3 linked regions of the Danio rerio genome follow. The protein of the gene in region 1 purifies or fractionates together with the protein of each later gene. This does not show direct contact. Links are inferred from orthologs where the notes say so. Each region holds a gene or a part of one and is shown on either strand. Other genes may lie near its edges.

The links.
Region 2: the proteins of sf3b1 (region 1) and snw1 purify together in Homo sapiens (co-immunoprecipitation; 3 studies listed by BioGRID and IntAct, with this or other methods). This does not show direct contact. The link is inferred for Danio rerio from reciprocal best matches to the Homo sapiens genes SF3B1 and SNW1.
Region 3: the proteins of sf3b1 (region 1) and snrpe purify together in Homo sapiens (co-immunoprecipitation; 4 studies listed by BioGRID and IntAct, counting the BioPlex papers as one, with this or other methods). This does not show direct contact. The link is inferred for Danio rerio from reciprocal best matches to the Homo sapiens genes SF3B1 and SNRPE.

Annotation. Positions count from the first base shown.
Region 1 is NC_133184.1:33,841,398-33,844,430, reverse strand, and holds the end of sf3b1 (splicing factor 3B subunit 1), read left to right. Parts: intron 1-1,593; coding exon 1,594-1,810; intron 1,811-1,919; coding exon 1,920-2,078; 3' UTR 2,079-2,496; downstream 2,497-3,033. UniProt on the Homo sapiens protein: Component of the 17S U2 SnRNP complex of the spliceosome, a large ribonucleoprotein complex that removes introns from transcribed pre-mRNAs.
Region 2 is NC_133195.1:5,545,758-5,549,418, reverse strand, and holds part of snw1 (SNW domain-containing protein 1), read left to right. Parts: intron 1-36; coding exon 37-132; intron 133-1,053; coding exon 1,054-1,160; intron 1,161-3,661. UniProt on the Homo sapiens protein: Involved in pre-mRNA splicing as component of the spliceosome. As a component of the minor spliceosome, involved in the splicing of U12-type introns in pre-mRNAs.
Region 3 is NC_133186.1:40,127,114-40,130,404, reverse strand, and holds the end of snrpe (small nuclear ribonucleoprotein E), read right to left. Parts: intron 974-3,291; coding exon 895-973; intron 787-894; coding exon 731-786; 3' UTR 592-730; downstream 1-591. UniProt on the Homo sapiens protein: Plays a role in pre-mRNA splicing as a core component of the spliceosomal U1, U2, U4 and U5 small nuclear ribonucleoproteins (snRNPs), the building blocks of the spliceosome.

The sequences.
Region 1 (3,033 bases):
CTTGAATGGCTGTGCAGTTGTTTAAATCTACATTCATTGACAGACAGCTTGGGCTACTTATCAGCATTATGGGAACTGTCCACCTGACAATATTTAATTGGATGAACTTTATGCAGGAGGTTGGTTGGTTAAAAAACAACCAACATTATCTGAGGTTTTCACTAAAATTACCAAGTACAACTGTGAAAGTGAAAGATTGAAGCAGTGTACTGACTCTGTGACACGTTACCTGATAGATTCAAAAGACCAAAGAGTCATTAGATAGCGACAAGATTAAATAAATATCATGTTAAACAACTAAAGTGAGACACGATCCAGCTGTACATCCTTGATAAAGGTGGAGGGCTGTTCAGAAATGCTAGGTAAAACATGGTGTGGATATGGATCATTTTCGTTCTAAAATGGCATTTTAGTAGTAAGACGTATTGGTGTAAACGGGGCCTAAGTGTGTATTTTTCGCGAGCGGGTTTGCGACAAGGGCGGGGCGAAGTATCAGCAGTGCTGGCTCAGCATTGTGTTGTCTATTGGCCGTCGACGATGGCATTGTTTATTGGCCCAACCCTAGGATGAAAATTTTTTTGTCTTATGCTTTACCCAGAGTATAAAAATACATAAAAACAAATTAAGATCTTTACTTTAATCAAAACTGTTGGAATGTGACTTTTAACCAGCACAACAAAAAATGTTCCTGAAGACAATCACCTACTGCACCTTTAAGCAATATAAGACTGTTCATTTGAAGCTATTGTTAGTATCTATAGAAGCAATGTCAAGTTTATTGCAGAATATCCATATTGAAGAAGTATTATAGTTGTTTTGAGAGTGTTGGATGACCTGCTCATTGGTCAACACTGTGGTTCATAAGAGTTGGGGAGCTTTGCATGAGACTTAAGATTGGTGCAATTTTTTATTCACTATTATAGATTGATGTAGTTTTTCCAAAACAAGTTAAATTATTAAGCACAATTGTTTAAAAGATAAGTAATTGTCAACAGATATGTTCTGCAATGTGTAAATAATCTGTTAAAGGGAACCTATTGTGCAAACATTACTTGTATAACCATATAATCAGCTTCTAATGGTAAGACTTTATTAATTTTAATGTTTATAATCACACTTCATAAATACTTTAAACTGCGTTCTCCCTTTGTATATGTCATCAGAGAGGGAAGCCCCGCCCATTAGGGACACTCTCCCTCATTAGAATAGGACCTTAGTCTTGTTTTTGTATCTGCCATTATACTGACACAGGCATTCTGTAAAGAGGGCTGGGAGCTCAATCTCATTTGAATTTAAAGCGACAGTCACCCAAATGGCACAATTAGGATCATAGCCTGAAAGGGGCAGTTGCAAAGAGTTATGAAACATAGTTTGTGCAGTATTTTGATCTGAAACTTCACATATACTCTAGGGACATCAGAGACTTATTTCACATCTTTTAAAAAGAGCCATAATAGGCCCACTTAAATGACCTGGGAGCGCACAACATGTCTTTTAACAGATTACTATTATTTTTATCTGACTGTCTGATTTAGATCTTAATTGTTTTACTCTGTAGCCATCTCTAACTTCTGTACTTTGTCTCCATTGCAGAGATCTGGTACACAGACAGACTGCTAGTGCTGTGGTGCAGCACATGTCTTTAGGGGTTTATGGCTTCGGCTGTGAAGATTCTCTTAATCATTTACTCAACTATGTTTGGCCAAATGTCTTTGAAACGTCTCCTCATGTCATCCAAGCTGTAATGGGGGCTCTTGAGGGTCTGCGAGTGGCAATTGGACCCTGCCGAATGCTGCAGTATTGCTTACAGGTGCGTTACATTTCAAACATAGTATCTGGGCTATAATGTTTCTTTGTTTTCATGTAATAATTCTTTCACTTGGATGCTTATCTTACATCCCCTTTTTCTTACTCAAAAGGGTTTGTTTCATCCTGCTCGGAAAGTGCGTGATGTTTACTGGAAGATCTACAACTCCATTTATATTGGTTCCCAGGATGCTCTAATCGCACATTATCCTCTAATCTTCAACGATGAGAAGAACTCGTATGTTCGTTATGAGCTGGAGTACTTTCTGTGAATATATCTATCCTTACATGTGCACTCTCTCTTCCCTCCTATATCTGTGTGTATTTCATGGTTTATAGGACTCGGTCCATTTTTTTATGTTTACTGGTAGATTGTAACCAGCACCACAGATTTTGTGGGTTAAAATTCATTTCTAATTAAAGAACAGGAAAATACAGAAAAAAAGGAGTATGTCAAACATGACGCTTTTAGATCTTTGGATTAGAGTTTTCTGTTTTTACGGTGTGGCTCTATGCACAGTGACGGTAAAGGTAGTAGCAGAGACTCTGAGGAGTGTGATTTATCTTCAGTACATCTTTTAACTCGACGTGTCCTGGTCTGTCAAGTTCGCTCTTTTGCTCAGTCACACATCTGTTCTTACTATAATGTTGCTTAGTTCGGCTGAATAAACGTTTGTGTATTAAAAGTCATTGATCTTTTGTTTGATGATTCGTGCACTACTAAAGTCTGAATTTAAAAAAAAAAAAAAAACTTTGAAAATTTAGTTTGAACAATCCAAGTTTTATCACCAACAAACGGACAGTGTAAGGATTGTCCTAACATTAATTTTGAAAATCATTTCCTGTGTATTTTGTGCTTTATTGGAAGTTATTTTAGTTTCATGTACTATTAAAGCCGGTCCTATTTTGTTTTATATTTGTGTTCATTATCTGACTTGAAGACTCCTATTATGAGCTTTTGTTAGCTTGTTTCCTGCATTCTGTTTAGACATAACAGCGCAGATGTGGAGGTATGATTCTCATTTAGGATTTTGCACAAACATGAGGGTCCTGGATTCTCTCGGTCTCAAACTATGTGAAACCATACTTCAGCAGAAAATTTCAGACAGTTTATAATCTTTACATCTACGTGTAGTGATTACATCTTTTCTATGAAACCGTCAACAATAGCATGTTTTATCAAGGAATTCACTATGTTTCTGACTGAAAATATTCTGTGAAACATCC
Region 2 (3,661 bases), on another chromosome or scaffold:
GATTTGTTTTCATAATTTTTTTGTTTTTTTGAATAGGTCATATTTAGTAAATACACAGACATGCTTCCTAAGGAAGTGCTAAACCAAGATGATCCAGAGCTGCAGAAACCAGATGAAGAGGCAGTGAGAGAGGTAAGATTACAATTCAGTAGCAGTTTCTGATAGATTTCACAATTTTGTTTCAGTTTCACAATCATGCTTAAGACTGCTATAATGTACCCTTTTGTTTAAAAATTAAATACTATAATTAAATATTTACACAATTAATGCATGTCATTTTGAAATTATGTAAATGTTAACATTTTTCTTAAGTTACTGAAGTGAACTTTGAATAATAAGAAAGCTTAACAATTTTCTATCAGTGTTGTTTGATTTAATTAACATTAGGTTTGTTAGTCTTCATTTACACACTAGTGTCTAATATCAGGGTGTCTGCAGGGTTTTAAAAGTCTTAATGCTTTTAAAAGCAGAAATTTAGCCCTTAAAAGTCTTAAATTCACTAAAATATAGTGGCATAGGTCATTTCAAACCGGTCTTAATTTTCCTGTGTCCAAGTAAAGCTACCCTAACGGACTGACACCCAATAATCCATCTTAAAACTATTTTGTTTATATTTAAGCTTTTTATTGCAAAATTATACAATTCACAACAGCTTCTAGACATTTTTACAGCAAATTCTCCAAATTACATTTCCTAATCAGGGAATGAAAACTAATGCAACACATCCCTTTACATGATCTTCCATTAATATAAAAACTATTTACAGAAGTAACCAGGCTATTAAAAAAAGTCCCTATAAGGCTGAAATTTCACTCATATTGGCCTTGAAAGGGTCTTAAAAAGTCTTAAATTACACTTAAAGAAACCTGCTGAAACCCTAAATATACATGCACTGGCTTGAAATCCTTAACTTGCATTACTCTTTTGTACTGTGGTGTTAAAACAGCATTGATAATGGAAATATTTATGTTTTAATCAAGCGATCCTCATGAAATTAAATGGTCATTACGCAGAACCAGCATGAATTAACTTTTCTTTTTACCTCTGATGTAGCTTACAGAAAAGACCAGATTAGCTCTGGAGAAACAGGTTTCACAGAAAATCGCGGCAGCTATGCCTGTGCGTGCTGCAGATAAACAGGCCCCCGCGCAATACATTCGGTAAGAGTGACTTGTGAATGATGTGAAATTGTCGAATTTAAATAAATGTTCTGGTTTTAGTACAAGTTAGGCTGTTTTATCAGTATGATGTTCATTTACTTTAAAAAAAATATACTATATATAAACGTCTTTCTTGTTCTCAAAAAGTAAAGCATATCAGCTAGTGTTAAAAAGCTGTGATTATGTAAACGCATGAATAATTCGTTAAAACTTTTGTACTGTTAAAACAGTTTATTGTTTGAGCGTTTAAATTGTCAGATTCCTTTATGAGGTTGGAATAGTTGACCCCTTATGTTTTTTTTATTAATTTGGCTATAAAAAGACTGAAGAGACAATTATTTTCTCTGGTAATGGAGATTATGGTGCATATACTGTTGATGGAGAAAATTTGAAGGAGGCAGTGTATTTTTCTTTATACAGTGCATTCGGAAAGTATTCATAGTGCTTCACATTTTCCTATTTTTTTTCCACATATTACAGCCTTATTCCAAAATGGATTAAATTAATTTATTTCCACACAATTTCTTTAATTTCTAAATTCTACACACAATACCCTATAATGACAATGTGAAAAAGTTGTTTTTTTTTTTATTGTTGCAAATTTATTAAAAAATAAAACGCCTGAAAAACCACCTACAGAAGTATACACGGCCTTTAGGCTGATTTATACTTCTGCGTCAAACGTCGGCGTATGCTACGGCGTTGATGCATAGCCCTTCGCCGTGGCCGGCGGCGTCACTGACGTGCACCTCTCAAAAAATGTAACTACATGTTACAACAACAACAACACGTAGCGCAAGCTCTGTGATTGGTCGGCTTGGTATCGCTGACGAGTCTGGGCGGGACCGAGAGCCGTGTGAACGGCACTAGCCCAATGGAGCGATTGTTTACAAGTGTGGAGTCCCGTGAAGGAGCTCCGGATGGAAAGTTTTATTTTGTGTTTACCTCATAGTTAAAGTTGTTACACGTCCGCCGGTTCCTGCCTCAAAATGAGCGAGTTTGAGCCGCTGGTACATCCAGGAAGTGTTCAGGAAAAGCAAAACAGCAGCGAAGAGACTTCACACAGGAACACTTACACCTCACTGCCAACTAGCATTTCGAAGTGTTAATGCAGACCAACAGTGACAGCGCGCAGAAGTATAAATGCAAAGCTATGGGCGTTGCATGCGCCAATGGTTTCTCCGGTCACTTGACGCAGAAGTATAAACCAGGCTTTTGCGGTGAAGCTCCACTGATTATTCTTGAGATCTTTCAGCAGCTTAATTGGAGTTGACCTGTGGTAAATTCAGTTGATTAAACATGATTTGAAAAGGCATACACCTGTCTATATAAGGTCCCAGGGTTGACAGTGCATGTCAAAGCACAAACCAAGCATGAAGACAAAGGAATTGTCTGTAGACCTCTGAGACAGGATTGTCTCTGGCCACATGGCTGGGAAGGGTTACAGAAAAATTTCTGCTGCTCTGAATACTCCAATGAGCACAGTGACCTCAGTCATCCGTAAGTGGAAGGAGATTGAAACTACCAGGACTCTTCTTAGAGCTGGCCGGCTATCTTGGTGGAGAAGGGCCTTAGTCAGGGATGTGATCATTAACCCGATGGTCACTCTGTCTGAGCTCCAGCGATCTGTGGAGAGAGGAGAACCTTACAGAAAGACAACCATCTGTGCAGCAATCCACAAGTCAGGCCTGTATGGTAGAGTGGCCAGACGGAAGCCACTCACCATCTGGAATTTGCCTAAAGGCATCTAAAGGACTCTCAGACCATAAGAAACAAAATTCTCTGCTCTGATGAGGCTAAAATTGAACTCTTTGGAGTGAATGCCAGGCGTTACGTTTGGAGAAAACCAGGCACCGCTCATCACCAGGCTAATACCATCATTACAATGAAGCATGGTGGTGGCAGCATCATGCTGTAGGGATGTTTTTCAGCAGAAGGAACTGGAAGATTAGTCAGGATAGAGGGAAAGATGAAGGCAGCAATGTACAGAGACATCCTGCATGAAAACCTGCTTCAGAGTGGTTTTGACCACAGACTGGGGCGACGGTTTGTCTTCCAGCAGGATGTTGACCCAAAGCACACCGCCAAAATAAATAGACTGACTTCACAAAACTTGGTGAACGTCTTTGAGTGACCCAGCCAGAGCCCAGACCTAAATCCTATTGATCATCTCTGGAGAGATCTGAAAATGGCTGTACACCGTCACTTCTCATCCAACCTGATAGAGCTTGAGAGGTACTGCAAAGAGGCATGGGCACAATTTCCCAAAGACAGGTGTGCCAAGCTTGTGGCATCATATTCAAAAAGACTTCAGACTGTAATTGTTGCCAAAGGTGCATCAACAAAGTATTGAGCAAAGGCTGTTAATACTGATGTGCATGTGATTTTTCAGTTTTTTTTTTTTTTTTATTTCAAAAAAATTTTCAAATAAATTCACATTGTCATTATGGAGTACTGTCTGTAGAATTTTGAGGAAATAAATTAATTTAATCCATTTTGGA
Region 3 (3,291 bases), on another chromosome or scaffold:
GGAGCTAAACTAAACAGGACAGCGGCACTCCAGGACTGAGTTTGGACACCCCTGCACTAAAGTTACAATAAAGACAGTTATGACTTTAAATCAGCATATTATTTCTGAAGGATCATCTGACACTGAATAATAGAGAACTGTTGCTGAATCTTCAACTAATTAAATATAATCAAATAAAATCAGATTTTAAGTTTCCCTATTTTACAATAATATTTCCTGTATTTTTGATTGAATTTAGCTTTTGGTGAACTCGGAATACCTTAAAAAACACCAACCTCAAATATTTGATAATTTGCTTTTTGTTTAACAAAATGAAGCCGTCACATAAGTGTTTCCAGTCAGAAACAATACTGTGTACTTTTTATAATTATTTTTTTTTGTGGGGGATTTCATCGATAATAGATAGAACAGTAGAGTACTGACAGAAAAAGCATGCAAAGCAGAAAAAGGGGGAAAAAATAAATAAAACATCGGCATAGGACCTCGAGGTGGGAATCAAACTCGGGTCGCCTTGAGCAGCAGAGTGCATGCATCGATGGACTAACCACTACGCCACTGGCACAATACTGTGTATCATACTAAATACAGTAGTCTGAAACAGTGAAAAAGGGGTTTATTTTGGAGATTTAGAAAACAACAAAAAGGTTTCCACAATTATAGGTCAGTCAATAATCCAAATATTGAGAAATGAAAACAAACATTAACAGCAAACAAATAATATTCATGTGGATCAATTGGACACACTCTGCAGCAACGTGATGTTGTCTCCTTTCAACATAATCCGTCCTGTTAAATACAAAAAAAAAGCCCTCATTGTGAATTTCTTCATAAATTTCTTTTATTTTTGCTTCTCTGAAATGCATATTTCACCACAAGTGTGAAGTTCACACTTACCCAAGGGCTTCCTGTTTTTGGTCTTCATGTGAACCTCCTCCGCATCGTCCAAAACCAAATTCATGTACTCATCAAACCCCTTGAAAGAAAAGAAATCATAGAGGCTTTTTAATAAGACGTGTGACACAGTTGATATGAAAAACTTCCATATTTCCATAAAAACAATCCATATTTAAAATGTGTAAATAAATGGGCATATCATGCATGGTGCACTGATGTGTCAAATATTTAGTTTTTTTTACAAAAAAAGTGTTCATTTATTTTTATTTATTTATTGCCACATCAGCAACCTTTGGCTGTTTCGTGGCAAAATGGATATAAATAAAATATTACATGATAAAAACATTAGTATTACAATAAAAAAAGTTACTTTAGGCGAATATATAAAATCAAAATAGATCAAATTCACAAAAAAATACATCAAAAGTTAAATATGATTTTTTAGTTCAATTTGTGATAAATTATTTAAAATTCTTTCTGGTGATACCTTTTTAAAAATGTCCATCAAAATACTCTCCTTAAATTTTGTCTAATGGTTTTTAAAACTTCCACATTCCACCAAAATATGTTTTATGGTAAAAGCAGCCCGGCAGTAATTACATTTAGGTAATAAAAAGAGTGTACATCAGAAAATAAAGAGCAGGACTGGCTTGATATCAATAAGTCAGCAAGAGTAATAAGTCACAAAAATTATTATAATGCCTTAAGCCTCATTCACACTACGAGTGACTTGCACCAGCAAAGTGAGTGAGCAACTTCTGGAGACCTTCTGAGCAGCGTGACCAAGTTGAGAATCTTTCAACTATGAAAAGCAACTTTCTTGAGTGATAGCCAACAGGAGCGCGAGTAGAGCTCACATGATCCTCTCTCTGCTCGCTCAGAGGCTGGTTGTGTTCTCCGTGCTCTAGACCTACACAGACCTGCACTTGCAGCAGTTCACCACCCTGAGCGGCACGCAGCTTCAAAGTCACTGCTAGTGTGAATGAGGTATTACTCACACATACATACACACACCTGGAGCATGTATACACTGAACCTTGGATTGCACTTGAATGGTCAGATGTGCATCGACTTATTGCATAATATCTGCATTCGTTTGTGCATTAGGTCTAAATATTTAAAAAACCCTGCTGCTGTGTGTCTTTCTTCTTTATCTTTAAAATAGATTTTAAAAACTTACAAAGAACTACACTCACCGGCCACTTTATTAGGCACACCTTACTAGTGCTGGGATTGCCTTTTGCCTTCAGAACTGCCTTAATTGCTGAAGAGTGAAAGAAAATATCCCCACACCATCACACCACCACCAGCAGCCTAAACAATTGACAGAAAGCAGGATGGATCCATGCTTTAATGTTGTTGACGCCAAATTCTGACCCTACCATCCGAATGTCACCGGAAATGGAGACTCAGACCAGGTGTCTTTTTTCAATCTTCTATTGTCCAATTTTGGTGAGCCTGTGTGAATTGTAGCCTCAGTTTCCTGTTCATAGCTGACAGGAGTGGCACCTGGTGTGGTCTTCTGCTGCTGTAGCCCATTCATCTCAAGGTTGGACGTATTGTGCATTCAGAGATGCTCTTCTGCAGACCTCAGTTTTAACGAGTGGTTGCCTTTCTATCAGCTGGAACCAGTCTGGCCACTCTCCTCTGACATCAACAAGGCATCTGCGCCCACAGAACTGCCCCTCACTGGATATTTTCCCTTTTCAAACAATTCTCTGTAAACCCTCGAGATGGTTATGCATGACAATCCAAGTAGATCAGCAGTTTCTGAAATACTCAGACCAGCCCGTCCTGCACCAACAACCATGCCGCGTTCAAAGTCACTTAAATCACCTTTCTTCCCCATTTTGATGCTCCGTTTGAACAGCAGCAGATCGTTTGGATAATTTCTATATGCCTAAATGCATTGGCTGTTGCTCAATATGCAATCTTTAGTGGTCTTGCGTCCTTGTAGTCATGTAATGTCATCATCAGCTGCCAAAGTTCAGTTCCAAAACTCAAGACTGCAAGAACAGAGGACTCGTGAAACTTCCCGAATGCGTTCTTGATATTGAGGATGCAGCGATGCAGACTTGAGCAACGATCTTGCTAGAATTCCCAGAAGTCATTGCGACTGGAGGTGGGAAGCGCCGCATTTTATTTAGATTTATTATTAAAGTTCAGAGATATCACTTATTTACCTCAGGAGTTTCCCTAAATGAAACGGTAAATATAAACATTACCATAGACATCTTAATAAAGGAATAAAGGCAATAAGGGTGTTTGTTTGCTGAAATTTGTATTAAAATCTGTTTTATTGATACTGTGCAACGTATATTTATAATGTTTTTATGCAGAGTATATATTTTGAAAAGGGGAAAAACAATAACTCATTGTATGAATGCTGTAATGTTT